Caenorhabditis elegans: one gene and its partner. The protein of the gene in region 2 purifies or fractionates together with the protein of the main gene of each other region. This does not show direct contact. Each region holds a gene or a part of one and is shown on either strand. Other genes may lie near its edges. The genes, in order: W07G4.2 and C03B8.3.

Evidence for each region.
Region 1: the proteins of C03B8.3 (region 2) and W07G4.2 fractionate together in Caenorhabditis elegans (co-fractionation; one large-scale study listed by BioGRID). This does not show direct contact.

The regions. Positions count from the first base shown.
Region 1 is NC_003283.11:13,034,310-13,038,479, forward strand, and holds W07G4.2 (L-Fucosyltransferase), read right to left. Parts: upstream 2,258-4,170; coding exon 2,173-2,257; intron 2,129-2,172; coding exon 2,083-2,128; intron 1,835-2,082; coding exon 1,758-1,834; intron 1,716-1,757; coding exon 1,555-1,715; intron 1,511-1,554; coding exon 1,394-1,510; intron 1,354-1,393; coding exon 1,247-1,353; intron 1,202-1,246; coding exon 1,101-1,201; intron 1,049-1,100; coding exon 869-1,048; intron 825-868; coding exon 730-824; intron 685-729; coding exon 586-684; downstream 1-585. Other genes in the region: W07G4.7 (Secretory peptide), read right to left, coding at 1-44, 96-220, 269-395.
Region 2 is NC_003281.10:7,710,446-7,717,901, reverse strand, and holds C03B8.3 (TMEM65 family protein), read right to left. Parts: upstream 5,594-7,456; 5' UTR 5,536-5,593; coding exon 5,528-5,535; intron 5,465-5,527; coding exon 5,354-5,464; intron 5,292-5,353; coding exon 5,161-5,291; intron 5,115-5,160; coding exon 4,961-5,114; intron 4,951-4,960; exon of another isoform or gene 4,887-4,950; intron 2,357-4,886; coding exon of another isoform or gene 2,294-2,356; intron 2,243-2,293; coding exon of another isoform or gene 2,017-2,242; intron 1,966-2,016; coding exon of another isoform or gene 1,820-1,965; intron 1,741-1,819; coding exon of another isoform or gene 1,575-1,740; intron 1,158-1,574; coding exon 1,041-1,157; intron 998-1,040; coding exon 931-997; intron 758-930; coding exon 602-757; 3' UTR 588-601; downstream 1-587.

The DNA of each region.
Region 1 (4,170 bases), on a different chromosome or scaffold from region 2:
GGTCCCATGTTTCTCACATTCATACAGAAGTTATCAGAATGAGTCTGAAAACATTAACTTAGTTTTAAAGTTGAAGATAGTTCAGTTGATAGTACCTTACAAACACCTTCATTTGCGAGAACACTAACACAACGACAATATTCATTATTACATGCTTCCATTGTTGCCTTTTTATATACATAACACCAACCATGGGCGAGGCAACAAGTTCGATGTTGTTCTGAAAATATTGCTCACTTACAAGGGTTCACTCTTGCTGATCACTTACCTAAAATGGCGGGACAGTCCAATTTGATCGAAATCTCCATCCAATTTGTTAGAATTGGATCAATTCCACACATTAATCGACATTTTGCAATTCCAAAAAGTGATACCAAAAGTAGAACGAATTTCATTTTTATGAATACTTTCTAGCTGTTTTCCTTTTTATATTACAAGTTAGTAGAAATTAGGTCAATTTAGTCTACTCTAATGGTCATAACAACTGTCAAGCTTCATATTGTAAACGATTCATTGAAGTGGAAAATGCGGTGAAGTTCTGGGATTTGTAAAGCTAAACTTTCGGATAGAAAAAACTTTTCAAAACTATCTGACACTTTCAACAATCGTTAAATTATCACAAGAAAACTTTAGTGGTGTCCAATTCGGCATAAAATAATCATATGGGCTCAGCTCTCCAATTCTCTGAAATTTTACATGTTATAGTTTCATGTACGGCTATTTACTGACAAAACTGAAATCATTGGTTTCTCTTATATCCATATAGAAAACCTCATTTCCTTTAGAGAAATATCCCATCCACCAGCCAAATGTTGAGTGAGGAGCTGAATCATATGTATACAATTTCAATTTGATATTTAATTCATACCACTTATTAAAACCGTATCACAGTGATCTCTTGAATAAATCAAATCATCGGATGGAGAGTTATGAGATATGAAGTGTCTTGTGTTTGAACCTTGGAGAATCGAATATTTGAAAATGGATTTCATAAACTTGAAATCATCTCCAAATAAGACAATGCGAGATTTTAAATTTTCTAGGGCTTCTAAAAAATGTTTCAGTTGTTTTTTAAATGATTTTTTTCAAAAATTATATACTTTTCTTTTCAATAAACTCAACCGCCCGTCTGACAAAAGTCGGATCCGATGCAGCAAAATCACCCCATACAAAGTCTCCTCTTCGTGTGTGTGCACAAATTCTAATAAGTGTTTAATCTACGATAAAAAGTTGAGCGGAAACTAACATGTAGGAGTTATTTTTTGATCTTGGCAACTTTCCGAATTCACTTTTTACATTTGGCTTCAAATATTTGATTAGTTCATGTTGCATTGAAGGGAAATACTTCCAAGACTAAATTTTAGATTTATAATAGCAATAATGTCATTAGAACCTGATAATAGTATCCAGCTAAATGTAAATACTGATCTTCATTATTTTCAAGAATCGTTGGTTCCACGTAGACACAACATCGTGAATTGAAGTTGATGAATTGTGTTGGTGGTGGAACCTTAACAATTTTCAAATTCAACTATATATTATTTTTAAACAAACCGTTCCATAAACAATTTCAAATTGATCTATCAATCCAGGAATAGCTTCTTTCACTTTGTTCAACATATTCAAATAAGTTTTATCTTCCACAAAGAACAAGGATTTACGATGTAGCTGCCTTGACATTCCCAATAAAGCAGCCATTTCAAAAATGTGATTTCCTGAAACTTATTTCTTTAAATTTTATGATTTTTTTCAAATACCTAATCTCATTCCTGCTGCGAGCCTGCTTGAAAGATATTTCTTGTTTTTATTAGAATTGGTGAAATACTCTGAAGTTCTGAAACATTTGAAAATGTCTACAGTTTTATAGAATAAGGCCAAATTTCTGGGTTAAATAGACAAACACCTATTCGGTAGTACGCTTCCGCCTCATGCCTACTTCAAACCTTCCCACTTTATCTACGCACCAAGCGCTTCCCTGCCCCTCTACATACCTCTTATCTGTCTATGTGCCTACCTCAAGCCTACCTATATTTATGTCTTTTTTTATTGTGTCTTGAAATAATTATCGGTGTTTGGACTTACATTGGTAACGTAGTTCTATTGCAAACATTTGTAGATAGAATTATTACTGTAATTGGAAGTTTGAACTTTTGAATGTTCCTATTACCCTACCAGTTAATATCAGAAAAATTACAAATAACCGAGTTTTGAACATTTTCGTAAGAAGTGAGGGTGTTGGTGGTTGAATTTCGGTCATTTAGTAAAGCTGAAAGAAGAAGAGATGAAACAGGAGTAGTTACAAAATGCATGTTTCGATGTTTCGTAATTGATGTGATCCCTTTCCAATACATCGAATCACAGCATGAGTCCAACATGTATGGGCTGCACATTTTTGTCCCAAAAGAACATCAAGTGTAATTTTGTTTTCAAACATACCTCAAGTCTGCCTACGTACCTTCCCATATTTGCCTACGAGCCTATCTCATGCCTACCTACTTGCCTAAACTTTTGTTAGTGTCAAAAATTACCTTTTGCACCACAGCAACACAGCATGGGTCCGACGATTCAATAGTAAAACCAAGTGTACATTTTTTAAAGTTTTATTTTAACCATCATAATTTTTTTGAAAAGAAAGAACATGAAATGCGAGCAATTTTTGTTTGGAAGCGAAGGAAATGAGAAAAAGAAAGAAAAACATGAATAGAATACGTTAATGGATAGAATCACAGGAAATTGTTTGATGTACTTACAAGGGAAGTCTTTGAGGGGGTCCGTAGATTTGGGGTTCTCATGCTAAAATTCCTACAGAAGAGTGTTAGTTATGATCTCTCCAAAAAATTTAGCTGCCCCGGTCAAGTTTCAGCAAAGTTATGACGTTTTGAAAATTCAGTTAAAAACACCATTGAAATCCACTGTCTTACCATGCAGTCCACGCAAATCTCAGCTTGCGTGACCACCGAAAATGTGACACCCACAACATTGAGTTGAAAAATGTCCTCGGTGGCCGAGTTGGGAGTGCGCGCGTCTGATAAGATTTAAGCTTTGGTTCGATTCCTTCTATTTTTGTAAGTTGAATAAAGTTGTAAAACAACTCATTCAAACATTTTTGCGCATTTTTAAAGTGATTTTATTCTTATTCGGGAACCTAGAATCATTGTCCGCACTTTTTGGAAATTTTTATTTTTTTCATTTTTGCTCAAAATTTCTTGATCAACTCCAAGCAAAAAAATCAAAAAATTTCATTTTTCTAAACAATTATGAAATTGCTATGTTGTTGTTCAGAAATGTATGAAACGTACATTACACAAGTTTTAACTCTCTATTCGCAAGTAAACCGTCGAAATGATCTACATCTCACGAACTTTGTGCAAAATATTTAACCAACTTTGAAGTTGCATAACTTCATTGAGATAAATTATTGTGAAAAATGATCAACTAACAAAATGTTTGTTGAATAACAGTGAACAAAGTTTTAGTTATAAACTTTTTGATACCTCCAGCTACAAAGAAGAAAACAAGGTTGGCATTTGGCTAGTTTTTCTATTAACATTGTGTTTTGGAAAACGGTCACAACTTTTTGGTGGCTGAAGGTATCAAAAAGTTTATAACTAAAACTTTGTTCACTGTTATTCAACAAACATTTTGTTAGTTGATCATTTTTCACAATAATTTATCTCAACGAAGTTATGCAACTTCAAAGTTGGTTAAATATTTTGCACAAAGTTCGTGAGATGTAGATCATTTCGACGGTTTACTTGCGAATAGAGAGTTAAAACTTGTGTAATGTACGTTTCATACATTTCTGAACAACAACATAGCAATTTCATAATTGTTTAGAAAAATGAAATTTTTTGATTTTTTTGCTTGGAGTTGATCAAGAAATTTTGAGCAAAAATGAAAAAAATAAAAATTTCCAAAAAGTGCGGACAATGATTCTAGGTTCCCGAATAAGAATAAAATCACTTTAAAAAGGCGCAAAAATGTTTGAATAGGTTGTTTAAAACTTTATTCAACTTACAAAAATATTTCAAAAATAGAAGGAATCGAACCAAAGCCTAAATCTTATCAGACGCGCGCACTCCCAACTCGGCCACCGAGGACATTTTTCAACTCAATGTGGTGGGTGTCACATTTTCGGTGGTCACGCAAGCTGAGATTTGCGTGGATTGC
Region 2 (7,456 bases):
TAAGAAAAAATTGAAAATCTGTAGTTTCAAATATGAAAGATGTGTTCTAGTATTATTAGGAAGTGTATGTATGTGTGAAATTCAAAATGATGCCTTGTGCTACTGTAACGCCTACCTAACGAGCTTCCGTAGAGGTTGTGATGGTTTCCATTCATAAAAATCAATAAATACATTATAAGCATGTTATAAAAGTTACTGAAATTTCAGAAAATGATTACTAAATTTCAAAATAAAAGCGTGGGAATTAATATAGACAAAATTACAATAGTCCAATATTTGCAGATAGCATAATAACACGCTCTAAAACATTTTAGATTTTTCAGAATTTCCAGGCAAAGATTTTGTTAAATTTTCAAGTTTTCTAAAATATGTTAATCTGGAGTGTAGCTACTGGTTTGAATTTCTAGAATGTTTTGAAAAATGTTTCGACAAAATGCCAAGAAATCAAGAATTCAAGATTACTAACGGGAGAATTCCAGAGATTAGATGAATTGGCCACGCCCATAGGACCGTGTGGCACTTGCAGATTTTCGAAAAACAAGGCAACAAGTTCGTGATTTTTGAAATAAATATAATTATAGCAAGAAGAGATCAAAACCATTTAATCACCACAAAACAGTTCACAATATTCATCTCCGTTCGTATTAGCCACAGATACTAATAAATCTCCATTATCAGAAGCCCGATTGTCTAAATTGTCATCGATGAAGAATAATGGCAACATTCCAAGTGTTAACCCCATCCATAATCCACTCAACTGAAAAAGAGAATTAAGGGTGTCTTATTTGAAGGCGTGGCAATCTCCGGTTTAAGGGAAGCGTGACGTCACAACCATTTTTCAATGTAGTTCCTCTGGAAACAAATATGTGACGTCACCCGATCGAATAATTAACTTTTCCTTTTTTGCATGACTACTCGATCCATACTCACCTTGGCTCCAAACGCAGCGTATTGATATTCGGGAATATTCATTTGATCTACAGAAAGTACTGGCTTTCTGAAAAAGGTTACTGTAGGTCAACAACTGCAGAAATAATTACTTGAACCCAAGAACATCATTAATTCTGTCAGCAGGCAGTTGGAGGAACAGGTTGCAGATGATGTTGGCAACAGCTGCAGAGGCAAGCATTGACATGCCGTTGTACACCGAGAAGATACTGAAACATTGCTACTCTCTCGGTACGCACACAGCATTAATGAGTGGCCTTTGTGAGAGAAATAAATGTGGCCGCGTGGCGCAATGGATAACCACAGGTAAAGCGTGTCAGGTTAGTGGCAACCTGCCAGCAGGTCGCTGGCTGCTGAATGGAGAACAACTGGCAGGTGAAATCGCGACCCGCTGTCAAGTTGACACTAAGCCGCCGCGGGCCGGCAACAGGTCAACGTCAGGTTTGTGTCAGGTTATTTTAGATTCCGTATTAGGCCCATATATACCGGGAATACTGCTTTTTGTTATTAAATGTTAATACAAAAAGAGAACAATTGCCAAAAATTTTGTTTATTGAACATGAAAAATGAAAAAATAAATCTGAAAAAAGGAAAAAAAAAACATAAATATTATTTAATATTTCGGCTTAGTGTAAACCTCGTCTCGATTCCCGATTCCTTGGATCCATCATTAGCAGCCACTTGGTCGAATTGTTGATTCTGTGATTCTGAGCAGCATCAGATGGGCGGTAACGTAGAAAATGATCATCTATCAGCGACAGTTCGAGGAGTTTGACAGCATTCCGCATTTTTCTATAAAAAATTAACGTTAAAGTTGAGAGAAATCACTAGTTTTTTCCAAACGCTAAAAAATTATGATTTTAAAACTCACTTTGTAAGGTTAATTCTCTTTGCAAAGCATGATCCGAGCCAAGATGGTGTGGGCTTAGCGACGACAAATTCGAACTTTCCAATCAAGAATCAATCCATCAAAATAATGTCGGGTACTCGATTGGTGGGAAGATTTCGTCGTATTTTCTAAATTTTTTAAAATTTACATTACATTGAAATATTTTATTATGAACATACACTGTGATCATCATCGACGTCATTCCAACCAGTTGAAATCGCATTTTATCAATATTGAACATTGGGAGAGCAAGATCCACGAGGACTTCTACTTTCTTTTGAATCTACTTCAAAGCTTCTTCATTTTTTAGTTCCTTTTTACGTTGATTTTCATCAAAATGGAAGGATGAGGTGGTTTAGCGGACGCTTGTGGTCAATGTCGAAGAGGCGACGACTCTGCACGACTCTGAAAACATAAATTGTTATGAATAACTTCATTTTTGAGTTCAACTCTAACCTTTTCTTCCATCTTTAGTTTTTCGCGAAGCAATGTTGTCGCCACCGCCGGTAATTCTCTCATCCAGCTATTTCCGTGCCATCCCAATCGTTCGCGTCAATGTCGAAAATGCTGAAACACCAATAAATATACGGGAAATAATTATTTTTGCCGAAAAATCAAAGAATTGATGAAGAAAACAAAGAAAAAACGAAGAAAAAGAAGAAAAAATCGTGAACAAATAATTTCGAAAATGAGGAGGATTTACGCTAAAGAGGGCGCGCTACCGTTATTTCGGAGTGTCGTTGCCATCTGAGTTTGGAGCTTCTTTTGAAATGCTTTCTCGCTCTTATATTGAATTCGTAGAAAAGAAAAAATCACTTTGAGTCGTAAATGTGATTTGTGATTAAAACCAACAAATAATTGAAAAAAATTGAGTTCAGTAAAATGTAATTAAAAATATTTTCCACTAATTTTAAAATTAATAAGGGTCCCCCCTTATGAAAAAGTTTTGGGAAAATATTTTTCTTCCAAAAAAATTTAATACTGCTGGATTGTGTAGGAAATGTAAATTTTAGAATTTTCCACAGTTTTCATGGATCAATCATACTCCTGGGCAAAAAAAATACAACAGTCGATTTGGCTTGTTCATAGAAAGTCAGTACATCCAAAATGTTCTAGCTCCGCAGGCAGCTGAAATATGAAAAACTTGTCAACTAAAAAGTTGTTAGGAATAACGGGATTGACAAATTACTTATTGTAACTTTTTGCGATCTCGGATGGCTGAGCAGGTAGGAGCACCTAATTATGAATCAAATATTACTATTTTTTGACTTATGATATCTCCGTACTCTGCACAGAAAGCAAGAAACTATGAAACATGAAACATGTTCCATAACAACCTGATCAAGTTTGTAGTTGACAGTTTTTTGATATCTTGCTTGCCCGATGTGGGACATGACTTCGAATGACTGGCATAGTAGGTAGATGAGTTAGAGGAATAGAGGTTTTTACAGTTTCTTAGTTTTCGAAAGCACCACATTTTGCAAGAAAGTACATAGATGCAGTTAGGAAAACATATTTTTACCATATCTGATAAATATTTGACAACTTTTGAAAAAACATTTTTTTTTTGGATTTTCTTGAAAAAAAATCCAAAGGGTCCCCCCTTATGAAAAGTTTTCAAAAAAAAATTTAAAAATTTTTGAAAATTTTAATAATTTCATCAAATGTTATAGAAAAATGTAAAATTAATTGTTTTTTTAGCTTCGATGTTCTGAACACGAGTTCAAACAAAAGCCTGAGGTATTGTAGAACTCCTAAGTTCAAAAAACGCACTCACTTCGGATGCTGATATCTCCGTGTAATAATTTTTTATGACAAAGTGATCAACTACAAAGTTGTTTATCTTAATATAAAGTACAATTTTGCAGTTAATCGTTTTTTATCAAAAAATTTGATGGCCGAGATACAAACAGAAAAAGAAGAAGAAAATACAAGCATGAAGTTGCTGCATTTCACACAACTTTATCTCGACCATGAAATTTTTTGATGAAATATCCTCAACTACAAAATTGTACTTTAGATTAAAATAAACAACTTTGTAGTTGGAGTTCTACAATACCTCAGGTTTTTGTTTGAACTCGTGTTCAGAACATCGAAGCTGAAAAAAACAATTAATTTTACATTTTTCTATAACATCTGATCAAATTATGAAAAGTTTTCAAAAAAAAATTTCGAAAAAATTTTTTAGAAAATTTTCATAAGGGGGGACCTTCGGATTTGGAAGTACTGACTTTCTATGAACACGCCAAATTGACAGTGATATTTTTTTGGTCAGGAGTGTGATTGAGCCATGAAAACTTTGGAAAATACTAAAATAAACATTTCCTACCCAAGCAAAATATTTTTTAACATTCAGTTTTATCCATTCATTATTGGTGTTTCAGTCAAAACTTTGCCTGACAGTAACCTGTCAGTTGGCATTTGCCGGCTCTTAGCCTGCTCCTAACCTGACACTCGCCTGACGCGGTTCATTATTCGGTGCGGTAACCAAAAAACTGTATTTCTGGAAATATTTATTTTCAGACATTTTTTACTTTTCGAAAATTTCCCTAAAACGTAACAGATCGTACTGAAAAATGTTTTTGAGCCAAGAAAACTTTGCCTGACAGTAACCTGCCAGTTACCATTTGCCGGTTCTTAGCCTGCTCTTAACCTGACACTCGCCTGACGCGGTTCATGATCCGGTGCGGTAACCCCGAATCTGTATTTCTGGAAATTATATTTTCAGAAATTTACACGAATGAACATATAACTCATTTTTATGAACTTTCACTCAGTTTCTGAAACTTCCATTTTCACTCGTCTGACCCATCACCTGACACTTACTCGCCGTTCACCTGACGCGCTTTTCTGAAAATTTGAGCGAAAATCACTAAGCTGACACTAACCTGCTCTTAGTCCGACAGCGACTTTTAGCCTGATACTAAGCTGACACTAACCTGCTCTTAGTCCGACAGCGACTTTTAGCCTGATACTAAGCTGACACTAACCTGCTGGCGGCTTTTAACCTGCCATTCAGCTGCCACTAACCTGTCGCGCTTTACCTGTGACGCGTCTGCCTACGGAGCAGAAGATTGCAGGTTCGAATCCTGCCGTGGTCGAAATTTTTTTCTGCGAGCTTACTTGTTGATGCTTTCACCGCCAATGATTAAAAATGCTTCATCGAGACATCCGTAAACGAACATTGGAATGAAATTTATATACCAGACTTTTACTAAATCTTCATGATCAATAGTAACTTCTACCACCTTTTTGTGATCATTATACTGATCGGCGGCTGTAAGATTTTTTTATTTTAAGGTAGCTGCTTAGCAAGAACTCACTGATCTTTCTCAAAGCATCAAATAAAAGTTTCCGTTCTCCCGGTTGGAGCTCCTTGGAAAAAAGCTTTGCATCTGCATCGTTTTGTATTCCATTCGGAAGAACAGAATATTGATTGAAAAATGGGCGGAGCCTAAACTTTCAAATAGGACTTTCAGGAAAGTTACAAGAATTGGGTAAATGATTTAGACTTACTCTTCAGGCCTAACTTTTATCACGTTATTTTTTGCAGCTCTTCTACGTAAGTGACCAACTCCGCGTGAAAAATTGCGAATCTGTTGGTTTGATAACATTTTTGCTATTGATCTGATAAAAGTTAAATTTTTTTAAACTAATTTTTTTAACTCGAGAAATTCTATCGATACTCACCTATCCATACGGTATCTTTGCTAGCCTTGAAACAAGTAGTTGTAAATTGAAAAAAATGAGAAATGAATTATCGTTACGCGTTTTATACTAACTATTTTTACAATTTAACAAAATTGGTTTTTTTCTTTTTTTTCCATCCGAAGTTATCAAAACAAATAAAATCCGTATTTTTCGCGTGAGCGTACATCTTCAGTCGGGTCTCGCCTGGAAAATCATATCCAACTTGCGCGTAAGATAAGGTGTGTTGTACGCACTGCCAATGTGAACCAAGACCAGTTTTGCTGACGCAGTTGTCAGCTGGCGTGTTTTTTTCTCTCTTATTTTCAAATTTTGAACATTTTTTGAGAGCGTCGCGTGCACGTCGCGGTTGAATTAACAATCGCGCTCTAATGAAGACCACCTCCCGATTCGCACCGCATCGTACCAATGGTAGTTTAAAATACAGACTTTGTAGTCCCAAAAATTAATTTTTAAAAAGTATTTTTCCGCATAACTGTACTCATAGTTGAAGCTTCAACAGCTGTAGCAAATGATATCGGTGAAAATAATTTTCGAAATTCATTCTATTTATTTTCGGTAGTGTGTTTTCATAACCCCCGCATGCTTTTTTTCTTAAAATGTTCTAACCTTGCTGTGAAAAAAAAACGCGCGAGGGTTGCGAAATAAGCGTGCGCGAAACCGAATTTTTGGTTCCTCCTTTCCTGTTTCCGTAAATCCTGTGCGTTGCGTGCGCGTTGCGGTTTTCGAATTATGGAAGTGCGCTCTACCGAAATTCGCATTGCTCGACATTTTCCTGTTTCTACAGTTATTTACATTTCCCTTTTCAAATGTTTTCAGTAAATCCAAAAGTTTAGTTTTTTGATTATTGTTCTTCTAATTTTTTCTAAAATTTCAAAATTAAAATTCTTTTAGTAACACTACAAATTAATTTATATTGCAAAGTTCCAGTATTAACTTTTCCTAAGCCCAGTATTAACTTTTCAAATCAATATCGAATCTTAATTCTATCCTAATTTCTCTTCTCAAAGTTATTTATTGACTGATTTTTAAACTTTAATCCTATTTTGGAGTTATTGATTCTGCGTTGCGGTCGCGTCGCGGTCACGCCACCCGTTCCTCACTTTTGTAAATTTTCTGAAGGTATCCCAAACGAGAAATCGTGCACAGCGGCTGCGTCGCGGTTTTTCATTTATTCAGTCTCGTTTCGTGTGTGGCTGGTTATTTACGCGGGCTGCCGCCGCCCACTTTCTCTCTTCCCTGCAGTGGCCTAAAATTGTATTGACCGCCGCGAAGTGTCCGCAATTGTGCGCCGTGGTGAACATTAACACACACGGGACCGGAAAAATGTGTAGTGTGTTTTTGAATATTATTTTGTTTTCTAGAGAAAATAAATATAGTTTAGAGTACAGTAAAATTATCGCTGCAAGACCACACTATAGTTGCAGAGTTCTTGACTGAGCGCTTCTTTAAGTTTTCTTGCTTTTATTTTATTTTTCCTGCTCATTGGGTTCAAATGTGGGCTTGCTCGAATTTCCACTTTAGCTGTTTTCTAATTTCGGAGCTGTATACTGTTCAAATCTATAGAATTTAACAATGTACTTTTTTCAAATGAATAAATCTGAAAAATGTGGCACCTGTAGCGATCACTATGACTGTGATCGTGGCGAGACCCGCTCAGAAAAACAACGTGTGCCTTTAAACTGACGAGTGAAATTTGTTGCGAAATTACGATAATAAAACTGGTTGGTGTGTTTGCACAGTTTTCGAAAGTTCTGCCTAATTTTTGGGGTCTGTACTTACGCGACAGAACATTTTATTATTTTCAGTGTACAGTATCCATTTACAGATACCCTTCTTTATTTTGAATCATCTGACCGTTTTAGACCCCAGTCCTTTTTGAATTTGTTTCCGTGGATTACTGTAGTTGCA